3 linked regions of the Kluyveromyces lactis genome follow. The protein of the gene in region 3 binds, or shares a complex with, the protein of the main gene of each other region. Links are inferred from orthologs where the notes say so. Each region holds a gene or a part of one and is shown on either strand. Other genes may lie near its edges.

Region 1 (2,520 bases), on a different chromosome or scaffold from region 3:
ACAAATCGGTTTGTTTCCAGTTCACAGCATCGACATACTTCTTACCTGCAGATCTGGAAGAAGCACCCAAAACCTTCAATTCAAAATCTGGATGGTCAGCTAACAACAAGATAAATCTTTGCCCAACGGAACCAGTAGCTCCTAAGACACCAGCGACTTTCTTACCCATAGTTATAGTATATTATAAGTAGTGATTCTTTCTTAATCTTCCTAAGCAAGATTCAGATCCTCTTTATCGCTTTAGAATAAATACGATCAAGAAAATGAGATAAGTATATTAGAAGCAAAGTAGAGCAACGATGAATGCTACAAGTGTGTACAAATATATACCTGGTAGTAAGGAATCGGATGTTAATGTTGATATTCTTTTCAACTGATGTCATATCACTTTGACGAAAAATTCCAACTGACTCACACTCTCTCTGTGTGAAAGAAACCGCAGGTGAGCCCATTGGAAAAGAAAAAGTTGTGTATTTGAAGTCACGTGGTATGTTGCAATTAGGGTGAGCTCCAAGCTTATGCATTGATTATAACGGTCACTGTATGTAACTTAGCGTATGTATGTATATATATATATATATATATATATATAATGAATGAATACCCTCCCGATTCGTGGGTAGTGCAAATCAGCCGTCTATTCAGAGTCTGATGACGATTCCGAGGATGAGGATGTTTGTTTGCTGTCACTGGAGGTTTGTGAAGATTCCGGCACATCAGCAAACTTGATCTTTTTCCCTCCAGTAGCAGATTTAGCCACCGTATCTTCTTCTGTATTACCAGTAGAACTTGTGCTGGAGGGTTCCATCTCCATTACTTGAGGTGGTAGACCTTTGAAATCTCTTTCGACTCTTTTCAGCTGCGCAAGAGCACTGGAAAGCTGTGTATCTAGAGCCATTTCATCGGCACTAATGCCACCAGAAGTTACTGCTCCCTGGGTTGTAGAAGCTCCGCTTGACGCTAGTGTCACGCCTGGTACTGATTCCTTTTCGGCAATGAAACTTGCTAGGAATTGTAGTACTTCGTCTTTAGATAGGTATGTTGGCGTGCCCACCGTATGTACCACAACGGGCGTGTTCAAAGTGGAGTTTGCTGGTCTTCTAGTTCCCCTTAGCATGGTATACGTGGTTGTTCGTTGGAGTGCGATGAATCAAATCAGCATCTATATATTTACCCAACCTTTGGCTATCTCATCTCATCTCATCTCATCTCATCGCATTATTTCGATTCAGGTTTTGTCTCTCGAAGAATTTTTCAGCTGAGGCACGGGTAACTCAGGCATGTTTCTCCGTGCCTTGCGATGTTAACAAAATATGCAAGTCACGTGTGTCACGTGACTTGCGGCGACAATGCGGTTGATGTGTAAGATAATGGGGTTTCCGTTTTCGTTACCCGGCCGCATGTCATCACCTAATACCATTTTGCGAAGCCAACGCCACCCTTTGTTAGCAACTACCAACCACTTTCTCAATTGAACTCTGATTCAACTTCAATCCAATTCCAATTCAAGTCCAGTTCTTGCTCTTCTGTTCTGGTTTGCAAAATCTTGGTTACAACACACCAAGTATCAACTACTAAACTAAACTAAGAATGTCTAAGGTATTTTTCGACGTGGAAGCTGACGGTCAACCATTGGGTAGAATTGTTTTCCAATTGTACAACGATGTTGTTCCAAAGACTACTGAAAACTTCAGAGCTCTAGCTACTGGTGAAAAGGGTTTCGGTTACGCCGGCTCTGTTTTCCACCGTGTTATCCCAGACTTCATGTTGCAAGGTGGTGACTTCACTCACGGTACTGGTGTCGGTGGTAAGTCTATCTACGGTGCTAAGTTCCCAGACGAAAACTTCGTCAAGAAGCACGAAAAGCCAGGTTTGTTGTCCATGGCCAATGCTGGTCCAAACACCAACGGCTCTCAATTCTTCATCACCACTGTTCCATGCCCATGGTTGGATGGTAAGCACGTCGTGTTCGGTGAAGTCGCTGATGGTTTCGATGTCGTCAAGAAGGTCGAATCCCTGGGTTCCGGTTCCGGTGCTACCAAGGCCAGAATTGTTATCGCTAAGTCTGGTGAATTGTAAGGAAATAAGCTAGGGAATTGACTCTTTTTTTCATTTTAATCCTTTTTTCTTCCCTTTATCACACTTCAATCGCTCGGGATATCTATATATATACTTATGTCTATAACAACCCATTGACTAATTGAGTGTATTTGATCTCACTCAATTGGTAATGGAAGACACTCAAATACATATATACAACACCCTTTTATATCAATGGAAGTTTATGACTAGATCATCATCTCTCCTCTTTGGCCATTAACAAATGTAGCTACCCAATGAAAATGGTTACCCGGGCCTGTTCCCTTTTCTCACCTGAAATTTCCCAATTTAGCTGCCCTCTGCAATCAGCGCAACCTTTACAAGACTTTTCAACATAAAATAATGATCATGATTAATGATCAGTGAGGATACGTTCGTCATTTCAGTGCGGTAACCCGTTGTATCTGCAGTGGTACGCTA
Region 2 (4,263 bases), on a different chromosome or scaffold from region 3:
TCTGAGAAAACCCCATTGGTGAATTTCCAAAAGACGTCATCCTGTCATGTAGTTTTCTTTGGCTTTGTTTCTTTTGCTCGGCAGGGTTTCGAAACTCTATAAGACGGAAATAGAAGCACGTGTACGTCGGTTCAGAAGGATGCCATTTTGGAGCCTGCAAAGCTCAGAAACTCCAGTAGCTGGAAAGGTAAACAAAAAAAAAAGGCACAAGAAGGACCAGATCGACACAATAACCGCATACTGCTGGGGTTAGCAAAACGGAAAACGAGAAGCGATTTGGGAAATTGTTTGAAAATACGGGAATATGCGATGTACCTTAGTGTAGATGGAAGGTGTTCATCTGTTTGCTGTTTGAGACAGGAAGTCTCCAGTAGACTTTTTTCCTCAGCTACATACCTGCACTACTCAGTTTGTGAGTGTTCTTCTTCCAAGAAAGACCAGTTCAGCAGTAACTTTTAGTTCTAGATTTGCGAAAAGCCTGACAGATTAGGAAGGGTTTAATACCGCCAAGAGTTTAAATGTTGCTGGGACCACACCATTTTTTGGTACCTTTTTCTCCTCGTTTAACCTCATTTGCGAAGTGTTGGGGGAAACATTTGCCTTATTGGTACAGAAAAGAATTCAGTAACATGTATTGTTTTGGTTAAGCCGTGGGTGGTTTTATATTTGGAGCTCTTTCCATTCTTAGTGTGTTGATCTTTTTTTTTATTGTTACTGGCGGCCAGAATTTGAAGTTGATGCTTCGAATGACGGAGAAATGGTTGATGGAAAAAAAGGAAAAATGAGGGGGGTAAAAAGAAAGCCCTGTGGGGGGCTCGAACCCCCAACCTTGTGATTAAGAGTCACACGCGCTACCGATTGCGCCAACAAGGCAGAATTGATGTCTGGTGGAGTCCTTTGCTGACTCACATCAGAGACGGTCGTCATGTGATAATAATAATAATAATAATTCATCATTCTTCTCTTTTTTCTCACGTGACTTGCGAGGAATATCAAACGGACGTGGTGAAAAAGAAAAGAAAGAACTTTTGCAAAAATTGAAATATCAGCTTTTGAAAATTTTCAGCTCATCTCATCTCATCTATATCTAGATTCTTTATTCACTACAGTCTAATTGACAAGCAACAACATTCAATTAACTAAAATACTCTCTCTTCTAAGCTTGAATTCCATTGTTTCGAGGATAGCTTGATTTTATCTTCAAACAGCATTTTCGATTACTTCAAACCGAAAACCATTGTGCCTTTTTTCACTGTTCTGACCTAATATACGTTATCTGCTCTATCATAAAACCGGTGGCTAATATTCGCAGGATTCATAGGAAGCGGGACAGTGCTAATAATAATACCATTAAGATATATCAGCTGTTACCATGTCTTCGGTTATTCTTCCTCCACAAGCTCCAGTTGAGCGTTTGAACAGAACTGCTAGTTTCAGGACTTTGGAAAGAGAATCAAGATTTATTAATCCTCCAAAGGATAAATCTGCATACCCATTCCTAGCGGACGCTGTACAGCCACACATTGGCTCCTTCAATGCATTGACTGAGGGACCTGATGGTGGTTTGTTAAACCTAGGGGCAAAAGATATTGGATCCAAAGTTATTTTCGATGGTAAGGGATCGGACACTAACCCAAACTACTTGGGTAACAAATTATCTTTGAGTATTGAACAGGTGTCTATTTCTAAACCAACTTCTAACGATGGTGTTTCTTCTGCAGTAGAACGCAAGGTTTTCCCATCTGAATCCAGACAGAGATTGACTTCATACAGAGGGAAAATTTTGCTGAAGTTGAAATGGTCGGTCAATGATGGTGAAGAAACTTTTACTGAAGTAAGAGACTGTGGTGGTTTGCCAATCATGCTTCAGTCCAATAGATGTCATTTGAACAAGATGTCTCCATACGAATTAGTCGAACATAGGGAAGAATCTGATGAATTTGGTGGTTACTTCATTGTTAATGGTATCGAAAAATTGATCAGAATGTTAATTGTGCAACGTAGAAACCATCCAATGGCTATCATTAGACCTTCATTTGCTAACAGAGGTGCCTCCTACTCCCAATATGGTATTCAGATTAGATCCGTTAGACCAGATCAAACATCTCAAACTAACGTCTTGCATTATTTAAACGATGGTCAAGTTACCTTCAGGTTCTCTTGGAGGAAAAATGAATATTTAATTCCAGTGGTAATGATCTTAAGAGCACTATGCGATACCAATGATAGAGAGATTTTTGATCACGTTGTCGGTGGAGACACCTCTAATTCTTTCTTGACAGATCGTCTTGAATTGTTACTACGTGGCTTCAAGAAGAGATACCCAACTCTACAAAACCGTAAACAAACTTTGCAATATTTGGGTGACAAATTCCGTGTTGTATTCCAAGCCTCTCCCGATATGACCGATCTGCAAGTCGGCCAGGAACTTTTAAACCGTATTGTTTTAGTTCACCTTGGTGAAAACAACAAAGACAAATTCAACATGCTATTATTCATGATCAGAAAACTCTATTCGTTGGTTGCTGGTGAATGTTCCCCAGATAATCCTGATGCAGCTCAACATCAAGAAATTCTATTAGGTGGGTTCTTGTATGGTATGATTGTCAAGGAAAAAATTGAAGAATACCTACAAAACATCAGGTTACAAATTCAAACAGACATAAATCGTGGGTTAGCTATCAACTTTAAGGATCAAAAATATATGAACAAGGTGCTTATGAGAGTCAATGAAAACATTGGGTCAAAATTACAGTATTTCTTATCTACTGGTAATTTGGTTTCTCAATCTGGTCTAGATTTGCAGCAAGTTTCTGGTTACACTGTTGTGGCAGAAAAGATTAACTTTTACCGTTTCATTTCTCATTTCCGAATGGTGCATAGAGGTTCCTTCTTTGCTCAATTAAAGACTACTACCGTTAGAAAGTTGTTACCGGAATCCTGGGGTTTCTTCTGTCCGGTGCATACTCCAGATGGTTCTCCTTGTGGTTTATTGAACCATCTTTCGCATAAATGTAAAATTTCTACTGAACAATCAGATGTTTCAAAGATACCTTCCATCTTGTACTCTCTTGGTGTCACTCCAGCTGCACACGTCATTGCTGCTGGTCCTTCCATGTGTTGCGTTCAGTTAGATGGTAAGATTATCGGTTGGTGTTCTCACGAACAGGGTAAGGTCGTTGCTGACACTTTGAGATTCTGGAAAGTGGAAGGCAAGACTCCGGGTTTGCCTGTAGACTTGGAAGTTGGATATGTTCCACCTACCACTAGTGGTCAATACCCCGGTCTTTTCCTCTTTGGTGGTCATTCTAGAATGATGCGTCCGGTGCGTTATCTTCCATTAGATAAGGAAGATATTGTGGGTCCATTTGAACAAGTATATATGAATATTGCTGTGACTCCGGAAGAAATCGAAAATAACGTTCATTCCCACGTTGAGTTCTCTCCAACAAACATTCTTTCTATCTTGGCTAACCTAACACCATTCTCTGATTTCAATCAATCTCCAAGAAATATGTACCAATGTCAAATGGGTAAACAAACCATGGGTACTCCTGGTGTGGCTCTATGCCATCGTTCTGATAACAAATTATACAGGTTGCAAACCGGTCAGACACCAATTGTTAAGGCTAACCTCTACGATGATTATGGTATGGATAACTTCCCTAACGGTACCAATGCAGTGGTTGCGGTTATTTCTTACACTGGTTACGATATGGATGATGCAATGATTATCAACAAATCGGCTGATGAAAGAGGTTTTGGATATGGTACAATGTATAAGGTGGAAAAGGTCAATTTGTCTATGAACAGAAGCCGTGGTGATCCAATTACCCAGCATTTCGGATTCGGTACAGACGAGTGGCCCAAGGAATGGCTTGAAAAGCTTGACGACGATGGTTTACCACTGATAGGTACCTACGTTGAAGAAGGTGATCCAATTTGTGCATACTTTGATGACACCTTGAATAAAACGAAGATCAAAACTTACCACTCTTCTGAACCTGCATATATCGAGGAAGTTAAATTAATTGGTGACGAATCTTCAAAATTCCAAGAACTGCAAGCAATTACCATTAAATACCGTATCAGAAGAACTCCTCAAATCGGTGACAAATTCTCTTCCAGACACGGTCAAAAGGGTGTCTGTTCTAGAAAATGGCCAACTATTGACATGCCGTTCAGTGAAACAGGTATTCAACCAGATGTCATTATTAATCCTCATGCTTTCCCATCTCGTATGACAATTGGTATGTTTGTCGA
Region 3 (3,174 bases):
CTTGTCATGAATCAAATTGAAGGGAATTAAGTTCTCATCTTTCTGTTTCCCAACCACCATCGAACAAGTTGCTCCTACACCCAATGAACAAATGTTGTACTCCTGGATATATAAAGTATTGAATGCTTTTTCTACAGCAGTTAAAATATCAGAGGTACATTGGGTAATGATCCCATTTCCATGCCTAAAATAAGGGACTTTTTCTTTCGTTTCCTTGACTAGGCTATCAGTATAATAATCAAAAATACCTATTCTAAACTCGGTAGATCCCAGATCGACACCTATCCCAACATCTTGCATATCCACAGGTTCTATATATGATGTTTAAGTTCTAATTTCTCGATTATACCATCACTTTCTGTATTCTTTTAGTTGATCATTATAAGATGAAGGTTGATAATACGAGATGAATAATTCTTTTTCTTTATATAGTAAAATAGATTTCTGAAGAAGTGTAGATCAATTGCAAAAAAGTATTATACAAACGCATGTTCTACTTAAATCATAGGGATAAGCTACCTTCTTGGCCCTTTACCTCTTCTAATCATTTCTGGTAGCTTGAATGGTACCTTCAAAGTTGCTATTTTATACGTTGAGGCAGAAGACTTTGGAATGCCAAAGGCTTCAGCTTGAGCTACAGTAGCACCCTTAACGGTAGCACCTAAGATTTTGAAGAGACTGACAAGCTTGGAAGGCTTTAAGTTTAGTTGTTGAGCTAAAGGTGGGACTTCAACAATGAAGTTATCCAAATGCATAATAATTACCAAAATATAACATAGCAATTTGTCCTCCCTCTGTGGATCGATAAAGAATGACTTATCTTTTGATCTACCAAATTGACCAGGTCTAGAGATGGTAAACCTTTCCAAAATGCCATTTAATAGGGCATCTGGAGGGTTGTTTATTCTTTCCAATAATTTTGTCTTGTTGTTAACTCTTCTGTTATCGTACACCCCAGCCAAAAGTGATAAATAATATAGTAATTGCAATTTTTGCATTTGTGCTGCTTGTGTTAGAGTTGGCAACTTGTTAGCCACATATTGAAATTTAGTGTATGGGAAATATTCTAGCCTCTTTTCTGGGTCTTGCTCTTTCATGATACTGCCAACGCGAATAAATGACCATTCCTTTTTGGGTATTATGTTGTATAAAGGATAAATTTGTTCCACATCTGTTGCGTCTAAATCAGCCAACGGAGTTGGTCTATCAGAAGATACAGTTTCTTGCAGTTCTTCCTTTGAAGGCAGTTCTTTCGAAGCAGTCTTCACTGTGTCTACAATATCTATCGCAGAATCAACCAATTTGTCTGAATCAATACGGTTTCTTTCCATATCAGCAATGGCCTTCTTTGCCTTCTTAGTACCGAACGCCTCACCTAAAGCGTTTCTCATCAATGCAGCACGGACGTTAGCCTGTTTAATGTCAGGTCCCATTAGGTTCTTTCTAGATTTGGAAAGAACCTTGCTGGATACCAGTGGTGCCTTGTACAATTCTACAGACTTCGTGGCGGCATCATAAACACCAACAACATACTGAGAAGAATTAACAAAATCATCGTCAGTCTGACCTTCATATTCTAGTCTATCGTTTTCACCATGTAACACGTATTTGTCGCTGTTCTTCTTGTTCTTATATAGCTCGAAGGTGGTATCTTTTGGTGCCTGGAAGCCCTTAAAGAAGCTACTTACAGCAACAGATGGTTCATCATGATAAGCTGAAACACCAACCTCAGTGAATGCACGTTTGGAACCCATCTCCACACTCTTAGTTACTACACAGTCAGCTTATTTCGGACCTTGGGATACCTTTCAATGATGTACTAATTTCCCAATATAGTTTGTGATCGATGCTTTACATCTCATCTCATCGCATATCCAAAAATTTTTCGATCAAGGAAAAAGAAACAAGAGTCATGTGACCGAACCATTGGATTATTGAGTTGGAAAGACGAAACTTCGACCGTTTGCCAGATTAATAAATGCCTTTTATAGTACCTCGTTACACCAAGCTTAGTCAGGACGCCTTACTTTTTCTGCTGCATGTTAAACCTGCTTTTTCATAGATTTCTGTGTTGTATTTCGTTCAATGCTCTGTTAGAGGCGATGAGGTTAGCTTTTGATATTTCATTGAAATGTTGACAGACATCAACAAAAAGCTATGTCAGCACTTATACCAAGTTGAGTGGTTCTGTAGCAGAACATCCAGTTATCATAATGCAACGATCCTTCTATGAAATTTTGGGCATTGAAAGCGATGCCAGTAATATCGAAATTAAAAGAGCTTATAGGGCCATGTTACTGGAAACACATCCTGATAAATCTGGATTGAATTATAATTCCAACGGAAACAATACATCTAGTCATTCTGTTACTGATATCCAGGAAGCTTACCAGACCCTCATTGATCAGGATTTGAGGAAAAAATATGATGAGGAACTTGCTGAATCGTTCAAGAAACTTGGCTTTCACAATGCAGGTGATGGTCTAGATCTTTTCTCTCTAGATCTGTTCGATTACAGCGGAGATGAACAATCTTTTTCGATGAATTGTCCCAGGTGTCAAATAACTGATGGGTTCCAATTAACCGAAGATGCTTTGGAAGAACATGCGATAGATTATGAGGGAGGTGGATATTTCGTATTGGTGCAATGTTCGGCTTGTTCACTATGGTTGAAAGTCTTATTTGACGTTATGGAAGAGTGATGTGACATATCAATTATGTTTTCACAATTAAAACCTGAAGAACTTCCTTATATTGTATCTATTGTGTCATGAAAAATTCACACTATTTACAGGTATGTTTCTTTACTTATGCATACTAAGAGCCACGTCAAAAAGCATACTGAATGTATCTAGATTTTTACGGTTCTTTCTCCGTATTTGTTTGCTCAGCGTCCAATATGGAAATGAAGGCTTTAGAGATAGCTTCAAAGTCTGTCATGAGGCTTACATGTGGCATTTCGCTAGCTATCTTTGCTACAATAGGAAAGCCGCATTTTTCTGGAAGTAACCACTTGTGATGTACAACACCGTCACCAGGTCCGTAATAAAAGTCTTGATACAGTCCTTTCTTTATCTCCTCCCGATTTTTAACCTTGGCACCTCTGACCGTCGGAACCCTATCACCATATACTATTGCTAGCGGCGGATATGTCTTTTCAGAATCGTGTTCTAG

Evidence for each region.
Region 1: RPA49 (region 3) and RPA14 share a complex: the UniProt entries of both Saccharomyces cerevisiae proteins name them as parts of the RNA polymerase I (Pol I) complex. The link is inferred for Kluyveromyces lactis from reciprocal best matches to the Saccharomyces cerevisiae genes RPA49 and RPA14.
Region 2: RPA49 (region 3) and RPA135 share a complex: the UniProt entries of both Saccharomyces cerevisiae proteins name them as parts of the RNA polymerase I (Pol I) complex. The link is inferred for Kluyveromyces lactis from reciprocal best matches to the Saccharomyces cerevisiae genes RPA49 and RPA135.

The regions. Positions count from the first base shown.
Region 1 is NC_006040.1:1,414,744-1,417,263, reverse strand, and holds RPA14 (DNA-directed RNA polymerase I subunit RPA14), read right to left. Parts: upstream 1,118-2,520; coding exon 638-1,117; downstream 1-637. Other genes in the region: HOM2 (aspartate-semialdehyde dehydrogenase), read right to left, coding at 1-169; peptidylprolyl isomerase CPR1, read left to right, coding at 1,591-2,079. UniProt on the Saccharomyces cerevisiae protein: DNA-dependent RNA polymerases catalyze the transcription of DNA into RNA using the four ribonucleoside triphosphates as substrates. Component of RNA polymerase I (Pol I) which synthesizes ribosomal RNA precursors.
Region 2 is NC_006038.1:556,501-560,763, reverse strand, and holds the start of RPA135 (DNA-directed RNA polymerase I core subunit RPA135), read left to right. Parts: upstream 1-1,372; coding exon 1,373-4,263. UniProt on the Saccharomyces cerevisiae protein: DNA-dependent RNA polymerases catalyze the transcription of DNA into RNA using the four ribonucleoside triphosphates as substrates. Component of RNA polymerase I (Pol I) which synthesizes ribosomal RNA precursors.
Region 3 is NC_006039.1:266,456-269,629, forward strand, and holds RPA49 (DNA-directed RNA polymerase I subunit RPA49), read right to left. Parts: upstream 1,755-3,174; coding exon 516-1,754; downstream 1-515. Other genes in the region: MPA43 (Mpa43p), read right to left, coding at 1-300; JJJ3 (Jjj3p), read left to right, coding at 2,214-2,702; KLLA0_C03003g (uncharacterized protein), read right to left, coding at 2,860-3,174. UniProt on the Saccharomyces cerevisiae protein: DNA-dependent RNA polymerases catalyze the transcription of DNA into RNA using the four ribonucleoside triphosphates as substrates. Component of RNA polymerase I (Pol I) which synthesizes ribosomal RNA precursors.